3 linked regions of the Nothobranchius furzeri genome follow. The protein of the gene in region 2 purifies or fractionates together with the protein of the main gene of each other region. This does not show direct contact. Links are inferred from orthologs where the notes say so. Each region holds a gene or a part of one and is shown on either strand. Other genes may lie near its edges.

Region 1 (6,564 bases), on a different chromosome or scaffold from region 2:
ACCACAGATGCAGTCCTTTAGTCCAGTGATTCTTGGTTTCTTGGGGACAGGGACTATGGTGGAGATCTTGAAGCAGGCAGGCACATGAGATTCCTCCAGTAAGGAGTTGAAGATGCTCGTAAACACTGGGGCCAGCTCTTCAGCACAGTGCTTTAGAGTGGCAGGAGCCACGCCATCAGGGCCCGGGGCTTTTCGTGTGTTAAGAGACCTGAACTGCTTCTTTACATCTGCTTCATGAACGAGTAGATTTGTGGTGGAGGTGTGTGATGTGAACACCTCGTGAGTGGGGGGGGGGGGGGGGGGGGGTGATGAAGGTGCTGGTGATGGCTCTGTAACGGGGAGTGGCTGACCAATGAGCTCAGCCAGAAACCAAAGCTCTTATAAGCCATTCTTAATCCCATTCATCACTCATGGTCATGAGCTTTGGGTAATGACCAAAAGACCAAGACCATGAATGCAAGCAACTGAAATGACTTTCATCTGTAGGGTGGCTGATCTCAGCCTTGAGATATGATGCCGAGCTCAGACAACTGAGTAGAGCCACGGCTCCTCCACAGAGAGGAACGAGCTGAGGTGGTCTGGGCATTTCATCAGAATGCCTCCTACAACGTCACAGGCGAGGAATTCCAGGAATGTGATACTGACAGAAGGTTCCCAGGTTAACTAAGTAAATTGTAATTTCTCATCCCTTGTCCGTTTTATCATTTTGGTGTATTTTGCAGTGTATCTGTAAAGTGCTTTGGTCAGCTGTCATGCTGTTTTTAAATGTGCTATGGAAATAAAGCTAGTATGGTATGGATTAGGGATGCGCCAATACCGTTATCGATACCAGGAATCAATGCCAATGCAGTTGCCTGAAAGTGGCTTCACTGTAACTTGTCATTTCTGTTCACCTAATATTTTAGTTTTGTGATCATTTCCATTAATATATTTTATTTTTTAATCTACCTCACACACTTTTCCTGTTGAAAGAAAAGAAAATAAAACCTGTATTCCAATTCATTGCATTTTATTGTGTGGTAGAAGTATCGGTGTAGGCGAGTACTCAGATCCAAGAATCGGTATCGTATCTGTTTGGGAAAAAGTATTGGTGCAACCCTAGTAAGGATCCCACCAGTGGAAATAGCTGGACAGAGGATAATTTGGACCTCTCTTCAATCCCAGCGACCCAAATCTAACTAAGAATAAACTATTTATAAACACTGACCTAAACTATAGTGCTCAGATGCTGATCTTGATTCCTTCACCCTTGAATTTCCTCACGGGACACCACTAACTTTAGAATTTAAAAACACACCTAAACATACTTAAACCATTAAGCTGTTATAATAAATCTGCAAACATGCTAGGTTTCGAACCCAAACACAGTCACAGAACACTCACCCCTTCCCTCGGGTATCTTCCCTGAGACGCAACCTGCGATACCATACCACTTTAATTATAGAGCGCTTTTAACACGGCATTACAACCGACCAAAAGCTGCACATGTTAATGCCGCACGAAACGAGACATGGCCAAACACCAGTAACCGTTTTCTAGGTCCAAACAGCTTTTGTCTGTGACATAAAATGGAGGGTTTTTTTTAGGCTCTGGCAGTTTGTCCAAAAGTTGAAGTGGTAGCAGCCGGCCGTTTCTCCTCCTCTGATACTACTGAGCCGCGAACCTCTCACACCAGCGGTGTTCTGTTGCCAAATATGCGAGTGCGTAACGAATAGAGGCCCCATGGTCGTGCAGGAGTTCAGCGGTTTGGAGACCAACAACTGATGGTTCAATAGTTGCTTCTGGTCCTAAATGTGTTATTTGCTGAGGTTTTTAGACAAATGTGAAAGAACCACTTTATTTATTTATTTCATCTCCACAGTTTCTTTATTTCTTTAACATATCAGAACTTGTTAAGAGGCATGAAAAAAGGTTTTAGACACATTTGTTTGTTTGTTTTAATGTAACTTTAAGTCTGGTGAAACCACATTTACAGTTTCCCCACTCTTCCTTTGATGATGTGTAACAAAGTTAAATGTTGGAAACGTTTAAAGTAAAGATGACTGCTTCTTGGAAGCTGAAACAGGTATTTTACATCAGCAGAGGCTTTAGAGGAGATGATGCGCTAAAGTTTGCGTTGCTGCTTTAGGCTGTAGCCCCGCCCCCTGAGCAAAAGGAAGACAGGCGGAAAAAAAAGTGCGACGAGAGGCCGAAATCAAACCGACTGACTTGGTTTCCCCACATCACAAGCACCCGTGGGCAAAGAGTCTGGGTCTGGACCCGGCCCTGTCCACCTCTGACCCGGTTCTGAACGAGTTAGAGACGTGGCAGGAGAAGAAGCATGCCTCGCTGAAGTGATCTCACCTGCCGCTGAAACACGGAGAGGAGAAACGGGCGAGGTAGGTTCGTGTTTCTGGACTCTCGGATACAGGAAACTACAGCTGGGTCGTGTTGGTCACCTTAACTCTGGACATCTGGAGTTTGGGCTGGACAGATGCGTTAAATAAAAGTTGCAGTCGGTGGTTTGTCCTCCGCCAGCGGCCGTAGTTGTCAGCTATCCCTCCGCCACGTTGGGGCACATGTCTGAGGAGGAGAAACTAGCCGTCGGCCTGCTGTTGCTCCACTTTTCTTTTAGTTTAATCAACAAAGAAGAGTCGTGGAGTAGCACCACGTGTCTGTCCTGGCCTGGACCGGCCTGCTGACTCTGCCCACGGGCCTGCTTCTCCGTGGGTCGGTCTGATAGATCCGTAAAAATGAATGGAGGTCAGCTTCTGTTGATCATTTAATTACTGATTTGCTGTTATCGGTATGCTGCCAGTTCAATTAAACTCCCAGCTGGGCTGAAGCTGGTCAGATGTTATTGAAAGAAGGGGAAACATAAATGTTTAAATTAAAGGTGCAACATGGAAGAAGGAAGTAGGAATGACATCCTATGGTCAAAATTGGTTACTGCAGCCCATTTTCAAGACACACTGGTCTGGTATGGCGTCGTCACATCTGGCCTGTAGAGCCCTGCACGGGCCTAAAATCTGAGCCCGTGTCCGGCCCGTGGAGCCCCAGCCCGACCCGGTCCGAAAAGGTTTTCAGGATTCTCTGGCCTGAGCCCAATTTTGTTTTTTAACCTTTCATAATGTTTTAGCGTGATAGAATGCTCAGCATTCTAATTATCTGTGAGAAGCATTCTGCAGTAAAAAAAATAAATAAATAAAAAGAAAAGAACAAAAAAACAGCATTCAATGCAGCTTTTTTTTCTAACAGAGCGTATTTTTTGAGCGGCAGATGAAATTTACGAACACTATATTAATTGGATGCGTTTGTAAATTTAATCTGCTCTGAAAATGCGCCCTTGTGCAATTAGAAAAAAAAGCAGCATTCTAATTTTCTAACTGCAGAGCGCATTTTCAGAGCGGCAGATTAAATAAACACCCCCAATTAATATAGTGTTTGTAAATTTAATCTGCCGCTCTGAAAATGCGCTCGCCAGTTAGAAAAAACAACAACAATGAATGCTGTATTTTTTTAACTGCAGAGCGAATTTATTCACAGAAAAATAGAATGCTGTCATTTTCTTGAGAATAAACAAATGGTTTCTGACATATCAAAGTGGACATAAAATGGCATATTAGAATAGGGGCACATGTTTCAGTCAGCCGTTTATATAGGCGCATTAATAAACCACACAGACCTTAACTGAGCTAACGGTGCCGGTGCGTGAGAAGCAGGCAGGTGCTGCTGCATTCAAGTGTTTCAATTTTTTTTATGAATTTGATTAAAAATAAAGGCGCCTGGCCCGGCCCGTGTCCGAGGTAATTACGCAGTCGTTGGCCCGAAGCCCGGCCCTCGGGCCGTCGGACCGGGCCGACCTGAGGGCCTAGGGCTTCATTGCAGGGCTCTACTGGCCTGGTCCGGTCTCGGTAGAGTCGGCCCACCCCTGCATGGCCAGTTTTTGTTCACATAGCCTTCTCAGAGCGAATGCCTCAGAGCACGTGGGCCAGGTGGGTGTTTTACTCACGTTGGTAAGCAAAAGTAGCCGTGAGCAGTGATATGAAGCACACCGTTTCCTACTCTCACGCCGATACTGCTGCGTGCTCCTCACAGCAGTCTGTCTGACCAGCAGTCAGAGATGTTTACAAATATGGGAAGCCTCTGCTGGCTAATTCTACCAACCAATCAGAGGCTCCCTCTATAGGTAGGTGTGAACTTCAGCTGGCCAATCAGTCGTATTTGGTGTGTTGGCTCAGTTTTCCATGAAATAGACTACTGGGGAGAAGCTCCAAAAAAAAAAAGCTGAGCATGGAAAACGACTACCCAGATGTGCCTATCAAGATGTGAAAGCCCAATTGCTCAGGGTCAGAGTTCACCCTAACCCATTCTCCTGCCAGAGAAAGAATGCTGCTGTTGTGTATTTACTTAAACCACCTCTCCTGCTGGTGGTGGTTGGAGGAACTGGTGGCGCCTAGACTCAGCAGCCCCTCCTGTCAGTAGCTACGTTGATTTTACAGACGTTGCGCTACAATTTCAGGTGTTGGCGCTCTTTTGCTCCGCCCACATGCTTATAGATGCGCTCATGACATCACAGGCCCCAGACCGCCTATGTTCTCAATCACATCTATATTCTCAAGGCAGTGTGGGACGAACACAGCCAGGCTGGGGTGGGCGGAGTGGAGTGGAGCTGATGCTAGTGTGTAAGTGGCACAAGTCCAACAGGTGGCAGCCCACCACACTGAAGTTGCAAGTGCGGTATTGACCCTGTGCACGTGACGTCACGCCACTCATGTGACCGCCCCCTTCACCATGATGGACGGCAAAAAGACCGTTTACACCCGTAGAAACTCCAGTGAAGCTAGTCAAAACAAGCCAGTTTGTAGCCTTTTATAGCTTTTATTTAGTTGATTCGACAGTAAAATGGTTTTAGCTTGCTGCGTGGTCGGCTGCACTAACAGACAAGGATGTAAAGTCAACTTGTTTTGTTTTTTTATTAACTTTGATGGAGACTGAGGACGGAGATGAACTGCAGCGATCAATCAAGCGGACTAGCAGGTCTCAGATTTGCAGCGAACATGTTTTTACCGGGTAAGATTAACGTTCATTTATTTGACGAGGAAGACGGGGACAGGGGTAAATGTGATGTGTTTATACAAGTTATTGATAATCCTGATGGACGGGTATTTCACCACGGAGGCTGCGCTCCGTCCACTGTAGTGTAAAGCGAGACGATTATTAACAATATTAAAGCTCCGATGTATGATTACGTGTGTTAAAATTACGTTATTTATTTATATGAGCGTCGGCGTTCAGAGATCTTCTCATTCCGGTGTGAAAGCAGCAGCTGAACCCGGTAACACCACCAGCAACAGAAGCTGGTAGGGATCCGGACTTTTTAAAAATCAGCTTTGGTGTAAAGTGAAACGCTGTTTATAACATAATTTTATAAATCCAGAGGGGTGAATTTAGGCAAAGTCAGCAACATGTTTACATCGGTGAACAGCTGCAGAGAGAACGTAAGCTAACGTTGGTAAGCTTGTTAACACACCGCTCTCTATGAGCCCCCGCTAGATGCGCTACTTCTTCTGATAACTGAACTGGGCCTGAACTAGTTGAAGGAATGCTGGAGGAGTTTTGTTTTTGTTTTGATCGCTAAAACAATTTCAGGCTCTACTTTTCCCTTTGTTTTGTAATCGTGTCGCTCACTGTTTACATGCTTTTGCCGTCCACGTGATTAGGTGGCGTCGGTGCAAAGGGTCAATTCTTGCCAGAGGGGGCAGTGGGGGTCTGAGTGACATTTAATGAACCTTGTAAAGGGTCTTTTAGCACATACTGGCTCAAGAAAATAATTTAAAAATATGATAAAGTTGCATAGTATCCTAACAAAGATCCACCTGTAAAAAGATTGTGAACTATCATACACCGTGATTTAGTATTCTTGTCATTAATAATAAAACAAAAATCGGCTAAAAAAACACAACATGTTTTACTTTGTTTACTTTGAAAAATACTGGATGCAACTTGCTGAAACAAGGCTCACTTCCTGTCTGGCTCCTGTCATTTATTTAACTTCATGACACTCTGCATGCAGTGTGCAGAAGAAAAAAAAAACGCCATGCAGAAACTTTCAGGAGCTCCACATCTGGACCGCACCACAGCCAGTGTGAACGTTCTGATTGGGCTCAATGATTTTTGGACTTTAAGGAAACTGGACCGTATCCGTTCATCCTTCGGTGTGAATGAGGCTTCACTGACTTGCAAGAATCTTCTTACATGTTTAATCTCATCTGTTTGTAACAAATATCTGTAAAGATGATCCAGACGGGACACAGTTGATCTGATTTGACTTTTATAGATGCATTAAGACATCCTGTGATCAGAATGGCCACTATTGAGCATGATCAGCTCCACCAGTGACTTGTCTATAAATACATCCCTGCCAAGCAGCAACCTGACGGCTAATAATCTCAACACTTGTCCTGGTCTGTGAATCCACCGTCACTAAATGCTACGTAAAGCTAGCAATAACAGAGCTGTGGGGGAGTTTTTACTTCTAAAATGCTAACTTTCAAGTACATTTCAAGTAAATAAGAACCCACC
Region 2 (6,776 bases):
AAGACTGTGAATATGAAATTAATTAAATTATTACAAATAATGAGCATCTAAGAGGTGTCATGTTGCGTAATTTACGGGAGCCTGGTTGGTACTTACCTGTGGGGAAGCCAGCATACTGAGGAGGAATCCCAGGTGGGGGCAACAGCGGTCGATTTAAATGAGGAGGGAAGGACATTTTGAGGGTGAATGTGGCCTAAAGAAGACACATTAAAGGCCATTAGTGTTGTTTGCATAAGGTAAAAACGTCCAAACAGCTCAAGTAAAAACACAGAGGGAGCGAACATTAGTGTATCCACAATGAGGAAACACTGAAGGTCTCGGTGGTGAACATTACAAATCGATAGTGACTTTTATTTGACTTTGCTGGAACGTTAACTAAACTTAGCCAAACTTTGTGAGGTGCCATTCGCTAATTAGAAGTAACAAAGTCCAAACTTCTTAAAAATATTAACATCTCAACAATATTAAGACTAACCACACACAACAGCTAAGTACGCTAAAGCTAGCAATGAGCACGTTACCCGATATAACACCGGCACAGCTAAAATGCTAAAGTAACCTAGCCCGAGCAGATGTTAATTTATAATAAAACACTGACTTTCCCAAGGCTAAACATGAGCTCGAAGTAAATATAAAAGCCTCTACATATACCTACCACTCAACCAGGTGGCGTATGATGAGATAAAATCCACTAAAAATGTTAATGATAGTGAATTAATAGCTAACGTTCTGGACGCCTGATTAGCACGCTAGCTGGTCGCGGGCCCTCGAAAAGTTTGACGCACGCGCTTTAGGAGCAAGAGTACTGGCGCGCTTGTTTTGTGCACCAGAGTGTATACACTGAACGGGGCTTAATGTGAATTCGCAAAATGAACCCTTTTCAGGAAACGAAACTTCTGCTAACAGGGTTCGATCAGATTACCTAACTAACCTTGGAAGACCTAATGCGCGGTAGTAACTAAATGAATAAAAAAGGTTGAATAATAATAGCATTGAAATTAAGTTACACCAAAAAAGCGGTCCGCATTTTTTTTATTAAAACGATTTGTTTCTAATCGGTTTAATTTACAAAACATCTGATCACATAAAAAAACAGCATTGTGATTTTCCTACTCGTTTTAATCAATTAGAGGATAAAGCCATCATATGATTATTTCAATGTTAAACTTCTTTTTAAATGTTTTTTAAAAGAGTACATAAAAATTCTGTGTACATTATTGTTAAAATGGTCATTCTTACCAATTCTGAAATTGTAACTAATAAATAACATATTCTGTATGCAAAGTATGACTGTACTTCTGTTATTTATCACTGAGGTTACTATCTAAATTTATAAATGTGTCTTCTGTAGTTAAACTACATAATAGAAAGCTGAATCATAATCATTTGTGCATCTCTTGCATTTGATGGGTCTAACTGCGTACATTTATTCCACTCTAATCCACTTGACAACAGTGACTTCTTCCCCTTACACTGTACTAAAAACTCAATTCCAAAGTCGTGATCAACATGACAAATATAGTATTACATTTATGTATAGCAGTCCATCTTCCACTGGTGTTCTATGTCCATAAGAAAATCTGTAATTCATATAATAACAACCATTAGTTCATTTGACAATATAAAGCATATATTCTCATGATTCAGTACGGAAAAGGGTTGAGTTGATGGTTGTTAAGGCGTTTTTGCTGTAGGAACATTTTGTGACAGATGATACGTCGGGAGAGGAAAGGGGGAGATCTGTGACGTCACTTTAAGGCGGGGCTTTCATGGAAAGTGCTAGAAGCAGGCTAGAAGAAACGAAGCACACCTTCTCGTGTTTGAAATATTCATCCGTCGGAGTAAAAAGACCCACAGTCTATGTCGAATTTCAGGGAAACTAGACGCCACTTGAGATTTGAACTTGACGCGTGGTTTTAGTGTTATGCGAATCATTTCTCTATGTTGTCGCTAGATGGGATGATTGAGATCAAAAAACATCGCCTCTCAGTGCATGGTTTGCTGTAGCTCAACCTACCACAAGATGGCGACAACGTTACACTAAGGTCCGACTTCGTATACATTTTCTTTACTTAGATTGCATAATTGGCATTTAAACCCTTTTTACCCAACAAAACGTGAATAATAGATTATTCTTTTCCAGTGAGGAAGCATACAATGTGTGTTTAGTTCTGGCTGCGGTTTTACATAAAAGTGATTGCTTCAGGTTGTAGCTCGTGAACTGCGGATGGATACGACTGCACACTGCGACCCACGTGTATAAAGACTGGTCTGGTGCCGAAAAGTAGTTCCTTTCCTTTTTCTTCAGTCAGGGAGCGCAAGGGACTACACTTTTGCTGCATTTTATTCAAGAAAAAGTCAACGAAATTACCAAGGTGCGTACATTAACGGGTCCGTAGCTCGTGTCAGACATCCTTACCTTTATAAGTTTGTTAAAATATCATCGGTATGTATGTGTTTAACGAACATTATTAGTTAATGAAAATCCAGAGGTTAATATGGTGGTCGAATAAGTGTTTCGTGGAAGACAGACGCCTAGTACGTCGGCTGATGTTTTCATTTTCCTCTCGAGAGACTACTATTTGCTTATGTTTCCGAGCATCGTAGTGATGCTCTTGAGCAGCGGGAATGCGGCACCGTGATGTCAGGCAGGTGTGGTGACGGTGACTCCGCTGGATCGAGTTCTCGGCCTGATTAAATCCGTTATAAACCCACGTTAAACCGGTACACTGAGTTTAATGTGTGCGTAATAAGGCCTGGTTACCAGCCACGAGGGGTAGTGTTCATTTGGTCGTTACGTAATTGAACGCGGTTTCAATTAACCTCCACGTTTTACTGAAACTATCACATGGAGGCTAAAACAAGTACGTTTGTAGTATTTATGGAAGTCGTCGTCGCATTGTTTATCTATTAAAGTGACTTGAGTTGATCCGCCTTAATCGTTCGCCAGCACGTGTTTGCTGCGTCCATTGTCTAGTAGAAGCCATGTTTGTTAACTGACACTTCCGCCCTTATGTAGCAGACTGCTGCAGCGGCCATCCAACTTAATGAAGCCACTTGACGAAATCGCGTTACTTTGAAACTATCTTAAGTTCTGTTTCACTTTCATTTACTGAAGTGACTTTGTTATATTTTCAGATGCCTGAAGAAATGCACCAAGAGGAGGAGGTTGAGACCTTTGCCTTCCAGGCAGAGATCGCTCAGCTGATGTCCCTGATCATCAACACCTTCTACTCCAACAAAGAGATCTTCCTTAGGGAGTTGATCTCAAACGCTTCTGATGTGAGTCTGCTGAAGCTTCAGTATTCTTCTGACTTTAAGGAAGAAACTAACCGCTATTCCCTGTTTTCAGGCTCTGGACAAAATCCGCTATGAAAGCTTGACTGACCCCTCAAAACTGGACACTGGCAAAGATCTGAAAATTGACATCATTCCCAACAAAGCTGACCGGACTTTGACCCTGATTGACACCGGGATTGGCATGACCAAAGCTGACCTTATTAACAACCTGGGCACCATCGCCAAGTCGGGCACAAAGGCCTTCATGGAGGCCCTCCAGGTACTACGCATCCCATAATGGCCTGCACAGGATCTTAAGAGACTGACTGATCTTGTGAAGCTAAATTTGTTTTATTCCTCCAGGCTGGTGCTGACATCTCAATGATTGGTCAGTTCGGTGTGGGTTTTTACTCTGCTTATCTTGTTGCTGAGAAAGTGGTCGTCATCACCAAACACAATGATGATGAGCAGTACGCCTGGGAGTCATCTGCTGGAGGTTCCTTCACAGTCAAGGTTGACAGCGGTGTGTAATTCTAACCATCACCAGTGACGTCTGAGTGTGCACTACTTGCTTACTCTAGTTTATTTTAGCTTTTCTGAAAATTCCTCAAATGTTTTCAGGCGAGCCCATTGGCCGTGGAACTAAGATCATTCTGCACCTGAAGGAGGACCAGACAGAGTATGTGGAGGACAAGAGGGTCAAGGAGATCGTTAAGAAGCACTCTCAATTCATTGGCTACCCCATCACCTTGTTTGTAAGTGCTTAAAAGTACGTTTTAAAAATTTTAAGTCTTGGGCAGATTTCTAAAGCTTTTATGTCGCAGGTGGAGAAGGAGCGCGACAAGGAGATTAGTGACGACGAGGCAGAGGAGGAAAAGACCGAGAAAGAGGAGAAAGAAGAAGAAGCTGAAGACAAGCCCAAGATTGAAGATGTGGGTTCAGATGATGAGGAGGATTCCAAAGACAAGGACAAGAAGAAGAAGAAAAAGATCAAGGAGAAGTACATTGATCAGGAGGAGCTGAACAAGACCAAGCCCATCTGGACCAGGAACCCCGATGACATCACAAATGAAGAATATGGTGAATTCTACAAGAGTCTAACAAATGACTGGGAGGATCACCTGGCTGTCAAGGTACACGAGTTTCCGACAAAGTTTTAACCCTGCGGGCTGATTTTTTTTCTAATGCTTTATTTTCTTTCAGCACTTCTCTGTGGAAGGCCAGCTGGAGTTCAGAGCCCTGCTCTTTATTCCTCGCCGTGCACCCTTTGACCTCTTCGAGAACAAGAAAAAGAAGAACAACATCAAGCTGTACGTCAGGCGGGTCTTCATCATGGACAACTGTGAGGAGCTCATTCCTGAGTATCTGAGTAAGTTCAGCTGCATTTTCCACTGTGGTCTGAAATGATTCCACAGACTCTTTAAATGGCTAATGCATTTAAAATTACTTTGTCCACTCAAGACTTCATCCGTGGTGTTGTGGACTCTGAGGACCTGCCCCTCAACATCTCCAGAGAAATGCTGCAGCAAAGCAAGATCCTGAAGGTTATTCGCAAAAACATAGTCAAGAAGTGCTTGGAGCTGTTTGCAGAACTGTCGGAGGACAAAGACAACTACAAGAAATTCTACGAGGCTTTCTCAAAGAACATGAAGGTATTGAAACTAAATGGTGGATTCATCTGAATTGGCTTGGTGTGTTTTATAAACTGAGGGACGCATTGCTGTATTTTGCATTTAAAGATCATGTTTGGTTGCTTTTTTCCTCAGCTGGGCATACATGAGGACTCTCAGAACCGCAAGAAGCTGTCTGAGCTTTTGCGCTACCACAGCTCCCAGTCTGGTGATGAGATGACCTCCTTGACTGAGTACCTCACCCGCATGAAGGAAAACCAGAAGTCGATCTACTACATTACTGGTACTAACACACACTATCTGGAAACCACACCTCCCCGTAGACTTGTTCATCCTTGCTGAGGATCTGGTTTCTCTGCAGGTGAGAGCAAAGATCAGGTGGCCAACTCCGCCTTCGTCGAGCGTGTCCGCAAACGTGGCTTTGAGGTGCTGTACATGACAGAGCCCATTGATGAGTACTGCGTCCAGCAGCTGAAGGAGTTCGATGGCAAGACCCTGGTCTCTGTCACCAAGGAGGGTCTAGAGCTGCCTGAAGATGAGGATGAGAAGAAAAAGATGGAGGAGGACAAAGCCAAATATGAGAACCTCTGCAAGCTCATGAAGGAGATCCTCGACAAAAAAGTGGAGAAGGTGTGTGTTTTGGGTTTCCTTTCCCTGTAGGCTTAAGTTTTCATGAAGGGTTTCCTTGTGGTCCAACATGGTGTAAACCTTTGTGCTTAATTTCCTCCAGGTGACTGTGTCCAACAGGCTGGTGTCTTCCCCTTGCTGCATTGTGACAAGCACGTATGGCTGGACGGCAAACATGGAGAGGATCATGAAGGCCCAGGCACTCAGGGACAACTCCACCATGGGTTACATGATGGCCAAGAAGCACTTGGAAATCAACCCTGACCATCCAATCATGGAGACTCTGAGGCAGAAGGCTGAGGCTGACAAGAACGACAAAGCAGTGAAAGACCTTGTTGTCCTGCTCTTTGAGACGGCCCTGCTTTCTTCAGGCTTCTCTCTCGATGATCCACAGACTCATTCCAACCGTATCTACAGGATGATCAAACTTGGCCTTGGTAGGAACTCATCAGATTAGCTGTTGGTGGGTTTTTATTTCTCTCCTTTCTAATGTGTGCTTATGGGGTTTTTTTTTTTTTTTTTTTTTTTTTTTTTTTTTAGGTATTGATGATGATGACATTCCAACAGAAGAGACCACCACCACCACATCTGTTCCAGAAGAGATGCCACCTCTTGAAGGTGATGAAGATGCTTCACGAATGGAAGAGGTTGATTAAACGGACTTTACCACACTTCAAAACACTTAAAACCCTGTTTTACCAGTAGTTTATTCCCTAAAAGTGCAGTAACTGTAAATTAAATCATTCCTGTGGTGTGGAGGACCAGAGTTGCTGTTACTGGAACCTTACACTGCTATTCCTTCGAAAAACTTTTATTTTGCTGTGAAATTACAAAAGTGATTTTTTTTTTTTGTTTTGTTTTTTTTAGTACTGTTGCTCCGACTTAAATGTTTGTGGTAAATGTTCAGATGTTGGTCTATAGTCTGACGTTCAAAGGGTTTGCTAAAATCAGTTCATGTGCAATGCTGCATGGAGGGAGAGGACTGTTTGGTTCTTTTTGCCTGAGTTCAGGCCTGCCTGTGCGACAAGTCTTGTTTTGCAGAAAATAAAAAGCTGTAATACCTTGTTTTTGTTTATCTGGATCCTTTAGTTTCCACTCTTGGGACTTTGTTTTTTCTAGACATTACCTTCTCCACCAGAGGGAGACATGAACACATTTAGATCAATCTTAAAAGTTAACTTTATAGTATACTTATCAATCACTTAAAACTGTGTAAAATAGTTGTAACTTGCACCATAC
Region 3 (6,781 bases), on a different chromosome or scaffold from region 2:
GATGAACAGCATCCAGCTGACGGCGGAGGAGAAGGCGGCGGTGCTGGAGGAGGCCGTGGCGGCGTTCCAGCTCAACATCCACGCGAGTCGCCGCCGGCCCAGCTCCAGCAGGAAGAGCAGCTCAAACCTGCAGAATCAGCTGCCCGAGATTCACCTTTACGCTTTTCCGTAGGTTTTCGACGACTTGCAGAAAATGTTGAGCATCACAGCCGAAACAGCCAACCAATCACAGAGCGGCCTCCGAACAAGCACGCTCCCAGCATCTCCCATCGCCGCGAGCCTGTGTGTGGCACTGGTTTCCATGGGAGTAGGAATGTGCGCCCAGTACGCCAGCCCCACGCTGGAATCGCTCACCTCTCTGTTTGTGTAATAAAGCAACCAGTTCGACCAGAACGCAAGTTTTATTTTCATCATTTCATCTTTACAGACCAGTTAAGCCACAGCCTCACTAAACCACCCACGGTGACACCTCCGGTCCGCGGCTTCGCCACAGACCGCGTCCAGAGTGGCAGAGACTCGAAACCAACACAAACTATTTACATCAGCGGCGCCGATCGGCTCTACTTGACCCGGAAGAGGACCTTCCTCTGCATGCGGTGCTGCAGCTCGCCCCTCCTCAGCATCAGGTGGAGGACTTTGTAGACGACATGCTCGGGATATTTCTAGAGAAGGGGCAGAACAAAAGACACGCCGCTTCAAACCGACCATTTAAAGTGTGGTGGTTAATAAACGCACACGGCCCCCTCGGACCCACCTGCTTGGTGAAGTCCTGGATGATGCTGTGCTCCGACACCTGGGAGCCGATGGCGAAGCGCCTCTTCAGCTGCTTCTCGACGCGGGAGAGCATTTCCTGGTCCTCCTGAGAGGTGAAGCCCTCCACTCCTGAGAACAGAGGGGCGTTAGCGTCAGGAAACGGGACAGGCGAGCCCCGCTCTGAAACGTGGCCGTCACACACCTGAGAGGCTGCCCGACAGAGCGGCGTCCAGCGTGGAGACCTGGAAGAGCCTGAGGGCCTCGTCCACCTCCTCTTCTCCAGCCACGGCCTGCAGCTTCATCTTAGCCAACGACTCGGCGATACGAACGACCGCCTCCAGCTGCCTGAAGACACAAGACACTCGTGACAACCCTCTCCCGGGTGCGACGACTCGCTCGGACGCAGGCGCCGCCGGTACCTGACGGTGATGGGGATGGAGGGCCGCTTGTGGCTCTCGCGTTCGTGCTCCCGCGCGCCGCTCCTCATCACCACGTATCTGTTCTTCAGCTTCTCAGCGGCAGCCGCGGAAAGCCGAGGGCCACACTTCCTGCAAGCACACACTCAGTCTGAGAACGGACTCGCGACTGTGGACGACAGACCAAACGCCCGAGGCCGACTCACGCTCTGGCGTAGGCGATGTATTTCTTAAACGTAGCCAGAGGAACCTCGCCCTCCACACCTTCGGTCTGCGTCTGAGCACTCAGGTGGACGTTCATCACGTGGCGAGCCAGCGTCTGGGGAACAAGCAGACGGTGAGGTTACACTCCGGAGGAAGGGGGCGCCGACGCGTTCGAGGCTCCAGCCTCCTCACCATGTCCCTCTGCTGGTCGTGCTGGTCCTTGATGATGAAGATCATGTCGAAACGAGACAAGATGGTGGGCATGAAGTCAATGTTGTCCTCCCCCTTCGTGTCGTCCCAGCGACCAAACACGGAGTTGGCGGCGGCCAGCACGGAGCAGCGGGAGTTCAGGGTGGTGGTGATGCCCGCCTGGAGGAAGCGAGGACGTCAGGATACCACGGCAACCGTCTCACATCCAAGATGGCGCATCAGCTGTACGTACCTTAGCGATGGAGATGGTCTGCTGCTCCATGGCTTCGTGGATAGCCACGCGGTCATCCTCCCTCATCTGAGAAACAGAAACCGCTCAGATTTAGACTCCGAACCGGGTCTAACGCTGACGCTCGGGCGTCGGTCCTACCTTATCGAACTCATCGATGCACACGACTCCTCCGTCGGCCAGCACCATGGCCCCTCCCTCCATGATGAACCCACGAGTGCTAGGGTCTCGAAGCACCGAGGCGGTCAGGCCGGCTGCGCTGCTGCCCTTCCCGGAGGTGTAGACCTGAAGGTCACAGACACACCGCTGAGCTTCTCCTCATGCTGGCGTCAGAGCAGCAGCTCCGGGAAAGCTTCTCTTACCCCGATAGGCGAGCACCTCTCCACAAACTTCAGCAGCTGAGACTTGGCCGTACCGGGATCTCCGAGCATCAGAAGGTTGATGTCGCCTCTGCGAGTGAGACCGTCGGGCAGCCTGGAGGAAGAAAATCAAAAAGGTTACCTATTAAAGTCAGATAAGAAACATTTCTGCAGATTAAATATCCACAAAATTCCCTAAGGGGGGGGGGGGGGGAATGGGGCGAGGTGGCGGTTTCACCTCTTCCTCGAGCCTCCGAACAGCAGACAGGTGATGGCCTTCTTCAGATCGTCGCTGCCGTAGATGGAGGGAGCTAAAGACTGAGCCAGAGAGTTGTAGATGCTCGGAGAAGCAGCAAGAGCTCTCAGCTCCTCCTCCTCCTGAGGAGACACGGACCCGGTGGCACCACGACCTGGACGGGATGAAGAAGGGGAACGTTTCTCCGGGTGGACTAGAGGCCAGCCTCGTGAAGCAGACGTAAAGCGGTACCTGCTCCTTCTGTGTCCACCTGGATGCCGACCACTCGTAAGTAGGACGCGCGGATCCCGACGCCGATGCCCTTCTCCTTGCCCTTTGCTTTGGCAGCAGCCATCTTTTTGATGGAGTAGATCCCCAGGATGGTAACCCTGTTGCCAGGCACCACGCGGTCACACATATACCTGAGAGAAGAGAAGACACCTGAGTGAGCAGAACACACCGCCCCGGCTCAAACACCCACGCCACGCCACGCCGCCCCTCCTTACCGGTCACAGTACAGCTGCAGGTGCCGGGGGATTTCTCCGTGTGGCACGGCATCCGGAGACTCCTGCAGACGGAGCGTCTGGAAGTCCACGCAAACGCAGCGGTCCGGAATGATGAAGTACGGGTCCACGGGGCACTTTGCTCTCCCAGGAGCGTCACTGAGAACAAAAGGGGTGCGTTAGCTTCCTCGCTGATGGCCGAAAGCCCGGGGGAAAGCGCGGCTCCTCTGGGTTACGCCCACCTGGTGCACTTGCGGGGCAGAGCATAACCCTGCAGGCCCGGCGGCAGCGCGATGTTTTTGATGGTGTTCCTGCAGCCGCGACACTGGAGGCACACCTTGGTGGCCTTTGCTTTCACCGCCGTGGCTGAGATGATGATCCCGTGCACCTTCACCAGACGAGACACCTGCTCCGACTGTACGAGAAGAAAAGTAGTGTAATCCAGTCCTGCGCGACGACTACAAGGCTCTTAAACAACACGGGTCAGCAGGTACCTTCAGGGTGCGAATGTAAGCATGGTGGGCGTCGCTCTTGAGCATGACCTGGATGTCCTGCACCTCCTCCTCTCCTACAGGTCGAGGACGGGTCACTTCATCCGCCACCTCCTTGGCAGCTTCCTCCAGCTGTTAAATGAAAATCTGTTAGAGGATGTCGCTGGAAAGGTTCGCCTGACAGTTGGGTCTGGCTCCAGCAGAAGACTCACCAAGGGCAGGTTCTCCGCAGGAACCTTGTAAAGGCAGTCAGACAAGTCTTCATCAAAGCTGGCCAGGTCCTCCATCTCCACCTCCACCCAGAACTCTCCCAGGGTGTAGTGTCTCTTCAGCTCATCTCTGATGGGAAGGACGGACAGATGTTACAATCCGGACAGACTACCAAAATAAAAGCAGGGTGAAGAGAGCCCATTCTTGTGTGTGTGTGTGTGTGTGTGTGTGTGTGTGTGTGTGGCGTGGCACGGGGAGGGGGGGTCGCGGTAGCTCTCCCTTAAAGATGGCGGAACACACTCACAAAAAAGCCTCATTTCACCCTGAAACCTTAGATCTCCTCACCCAGCTCTTATTTTGGTAGGTACCTTCCGGATAAAGACTTCTTTTATTTTAACATTTTGTGTCGTTTCACTTCGAACATTTACCTCCTTATTAAAACCAGTTCTTTGGTGGCTGTGGCCGTCTGTGTTGCTCACCTGTATTTGTAGGTGAAGCCGGTGCGGTCCGTTCCCACCCGGAACTGCCGGAGGAACTCTCGGAACCGCTTCTTGATCTGAGCCCGCTTCTGCCCGCCGTCGTCCCCGCCGGGCGCGTCTCCTCCTCCGAAGCTGTCGCTGTAATAAACTCCGGGAATGTCGAAGCCAGACATCCTGCTGCAGCTCACTAAACTAAAACTCGGAGCTGGGACACGACTTTATTCTCAGACAGAGCGATCCCAGAGAGCGGCACTAACAGGAACAATGCGCCAGAGCGAAGTCCTTTCGCGGGAAAAAACGATCTGCTTCCTGTCTGTTTCCCGCGAGCCGCTTGTTTCGCTACACGCCTCTTCTGTTCTCTGATTGGCTGAATTAAATCCGGCTTCTTTCTATTGGTCACAGAGGGTTCCAAAAGGCGTGACGTTACGGGGGAAGGTGGAGCTTAGCGCTGTTGTGGCGCGAAAAACACAAAGGGGGAGGGGCGGGAGCGTCGTGCTGCCCAGCTCAACATGCAGAGGAGCCATGAGAACATCTAGCTCGTTTTCGCAAACGTTTCAGCTGTTTTGTCTTCAAAGATCAGACTTTAACATTTATTAGAAACATATTTCAACCTTTTTCATGCAAAACTCCAGTCTGGGTGCTTCAGGCTCACACGGCTTTGGAAGAGTTTGAGACTTCCCATCATTCTGGTTTGTGGGTCTGGACTCTGGACACCATTCTGTTGTAGATCAGCTGTGTTTGGGATTTGGTCCCTTTTCATGATCAACTTTACTCCAACGCGTTAAAAGAGTGCAACACTGAAAAAGCCTTCTTTTATTTTTATTTCTACTTATGATCAATCAGCCACTCGTGTTTCTCGCAGGCTGAACACGAGAATAATCTCCTACACCAATCTCCGGCTGCTTTAGCTTCTGATAGAAAACAGACGGTGAAACTCTGGGATTAGAAAATCCTGACAGATCTACGTCACCCTGTCACTAACATTCATGGACTCACCCATCTTGACTCACGACGGGGGAGGCTGTTGTTTAACGTCCAGGAAACCGCAGAGAATGTAGCTAACCATTAGCATTAGCAGCAGCACCACACAGCAGAAGCTCCTCAAGACTTGTGTTATTAGTGGATAAAACATTGTTGCAAGTCAATGGTAGAGTCGCGTTGCTGTCATCCAATCTGGGGCGAGATGTCCAAATAGCTCAGCTGTAACGTGGGCAACTTTTAGGTCAGATAAATAGTGCATCGGTATATTTTTCACCCCCGAGAACAACTTACAAGACATTTGTTCCTACTAGAACAACTCCCTTAACCCTCTGGAGGCAGGCGTCTGCAACAGTTAAAGCCTACCTACCTGGTTACTCCACATAAGTATTTCATGAGCACTTTTGAACTCAGAAGTACCCCTGAAGGACTTAGTTGTTCGTCCTTTTATCAAAACTTATTTTGAGCCTGAGAGGGTTAAACATCAGAGACATAAACTCACTTTTCAACCATTAAAAAAAGATGAGTAGACTCAATGAGTGCAAGAAGCCCAAACCATCAACCCTCCACCACCGCAGGTATGATCCTGTTTGGTATTTTCATGAACTTGCATTGAAACTAGACACATTATTCCCATCAAGTGACTCCTGTGTGCAGGTGCTGCCATGTTGTATTTTGGTTTGTGCACTTGGGACAAGCTCTAAGTCACTTGTGCACAATCATCCATCCACTTAATCCTCACTAGGACGACATGGAGCTGGTGCCCATCTCCAGCTGCAGGCATTGGGTGAGAGGAAAGGACCCTGGACATGTCCCCAGTCCATCACAGACCTTTGTTTCTTCTTAATTATAAATCTCAGTAAGACAAACACAGCCTCGAGTTTTCTTCTTAATTTAATACTTTACGGACTTTTGAAGTTTTATGCTCGCGATTGCCCCCTCAGGCCAAAAGCGTAACAGCAGCTTCAATAGTAGGCTCGTGCACGAGGAGCGCATGCTGTACGTGCACACTCCTTAACGAAAACAACAGCTGAGACAGTCCCTTGTGTGTGTGTGTGTGTGTGTGTGTGTGTGGGTGGCCTGGAGGACAGAGGACAAGAGAACGTGCAGCTAATTCATTAAATAATTTGGTTCTGTACCTTTCTCTTCAGCACAGCCGACAAAGGTTTATGATGGGTCAGTCCTCCTGCATGCTCAGATCATTCCCTTCCCTTACTTGAAAAATTGTTCCAAAATGAAAGTTGAACCCACATCTTTTTTATCTGTGAATTCAATGCCGTTCGGCGAGTCTCCAATAAAAATTTGGGCATCTTACTGTAAAAAAATATACCATTAATGTAAAAAATAAACTCTAAATAAACTATGTTCACACCTAGAATCGAACACAGGTGTTCTGCATGCGAGTCCGTCGTCTCACAAGGTGAGCTACACTCTAGTAACATTCACAGTATCTGTAACATTTATATCCTTGATGACAGCTGAAACAACGTTCAAAGAACGGTTCGGAGCGAAAATGGCTATTTTGTTGCTAATTTGCAGGAAATATCTAGAAGAAAGTTCTACAGAAAGTAGCTAAGGGTCCTCAGAAATGTAGCTAGCTTTGTCACTAGGCGTTAGGAACAGCGACAAAGTGGCACTGTCTCTCTCTCTGCTGCTAAAGCTACTGATAGCAAACGCTACGGGCGATGCCTGAGCGTGAATGAAGCAGCCTGCT

The links. The genes of interacting proteins can lie anywhere in the genome.
Region 1: the proteins of hsp90ab1 (region 2) and cdk4 purify together in Homo sapiens (affinity purification with mass spectrometry; 5 studies listed by BioGRID and IntAct, counting the BioPlex papers as one, with this or other methods). This does not show direct contact. The link is inferred for Nothobranchius furzeri from reciprocal best matches to the Homo sapiens genes HSP90AB1 and CDK4.
Region 3: the proteins of hsp90ab1 (region 2) and mcm5 fractionate together in Homo sapiens (co-fractionation; 3 studies listed by BioGRID, with this or other methods). This does not show direct contact. The link is inferred for Nothobranchius furzeri from reciprocal best matches to the Homo sapiens genes HSP90AB1 and MCM5.

The regions. Positions count from the first base shown.
Region 1 is NC_091743.1:49,229,417-49,235,980, forward strand, and holds the start of cdk4 (cyclin-dependent kinase 4), read left to right. Parts: upstream 1-2,167; 5' UTR 2,168-2,378; intron 2,379-6,564.
Region 2 is NC_091742.1:8,413,984-8,420,759, reverse strand, and holds hsp90ab1 (heat shock protein HSP 90-beta), read left to right. Parts: upstream 1-2,234; 5' UTR 2,235-2,375; intron 2,376-3,138; coding exon 3,139-3,282; intron 3,283-3,352; coding exon 3,353-3,559; intron 3,560-3,642; coding exon 3,643-3,802; intron 3,803-3,900; coding exon 3,901-4,034; intron 4,035-4,103; coding exon 4,104-4,412; intron 4,413-4,482; coding exon 4,483-4,648; intron 4,649-4,740; coding exon 4,741-4,931; intron 4,932-5,045; coding exon 5,046-5,193; intron 5,194-5,271; coding exon 5,272-5,540; intron 5,541-5,640; coding exon 5,641-5,974; intron 5,975-6,077; coding exon 6,078-6,193; 3' UTR 6,194-6,484; downstream 6,485-6,776. Other genes in the region: rbm25b (RNA-binding protein 25b), read right to left, coding at 97-175. UniProt on the Homo sapiens protein: Molecular chaperone that promotes the maturation, structural maintenance and proper regulation of specific target proteins involved for instance in cell cycle control and signal transduction. Undergoes a functional cycle linked to its ATPase activity.
Region 3 is NC_091752.1:68,040,535-68,047,315, reverse strand, and holds mcm5 (DNA replication licensing factor MCM5), read right to left. Parts: upstream 4,398-6,781; 5' UTR 4,263-4,397; coding exon 4,090-4,262; intron 3,740-4,089; coding exon 3,613-3,739; intron 3,533-3,612; coding exon 3,404-3,532; intron 3,325-3,403; coding exon 3,152-3,324; intron 3,069-3,151; coding exon 2,913-3,068; intron 2,829-2,912; coding exon 2,659-2,828; intron 2,582-2,658; coding exon 2,410-2,581; intron 2,287-2,409; coding exon 2,175-2,286; intron 2,098-2,174; coding exon 1,954-2,097; intron 1,882-1,953; coding exon 1,816-1,881; intron 1,743-1,815; coding exon 1,566-1,742; intron 1,489-1,565; coding exon 1,376-1,488; intron 1,302-1,375; coding exon 1,173-1,301; intron 1,099-1,172; coding exon 956-1,098; intron 883-955; coding exon 755-882; intron 663-754; coding exon 561-662; 3' UTR 383-560; downstream 1-382. UniProt on the Homo sapiens protein: Acts as a component of the MCM2-7 complex (MCM complex) which is the replicative helicase essential for 'once per cell cycle' DNA replication initiation and elongation in eukaryotic cells.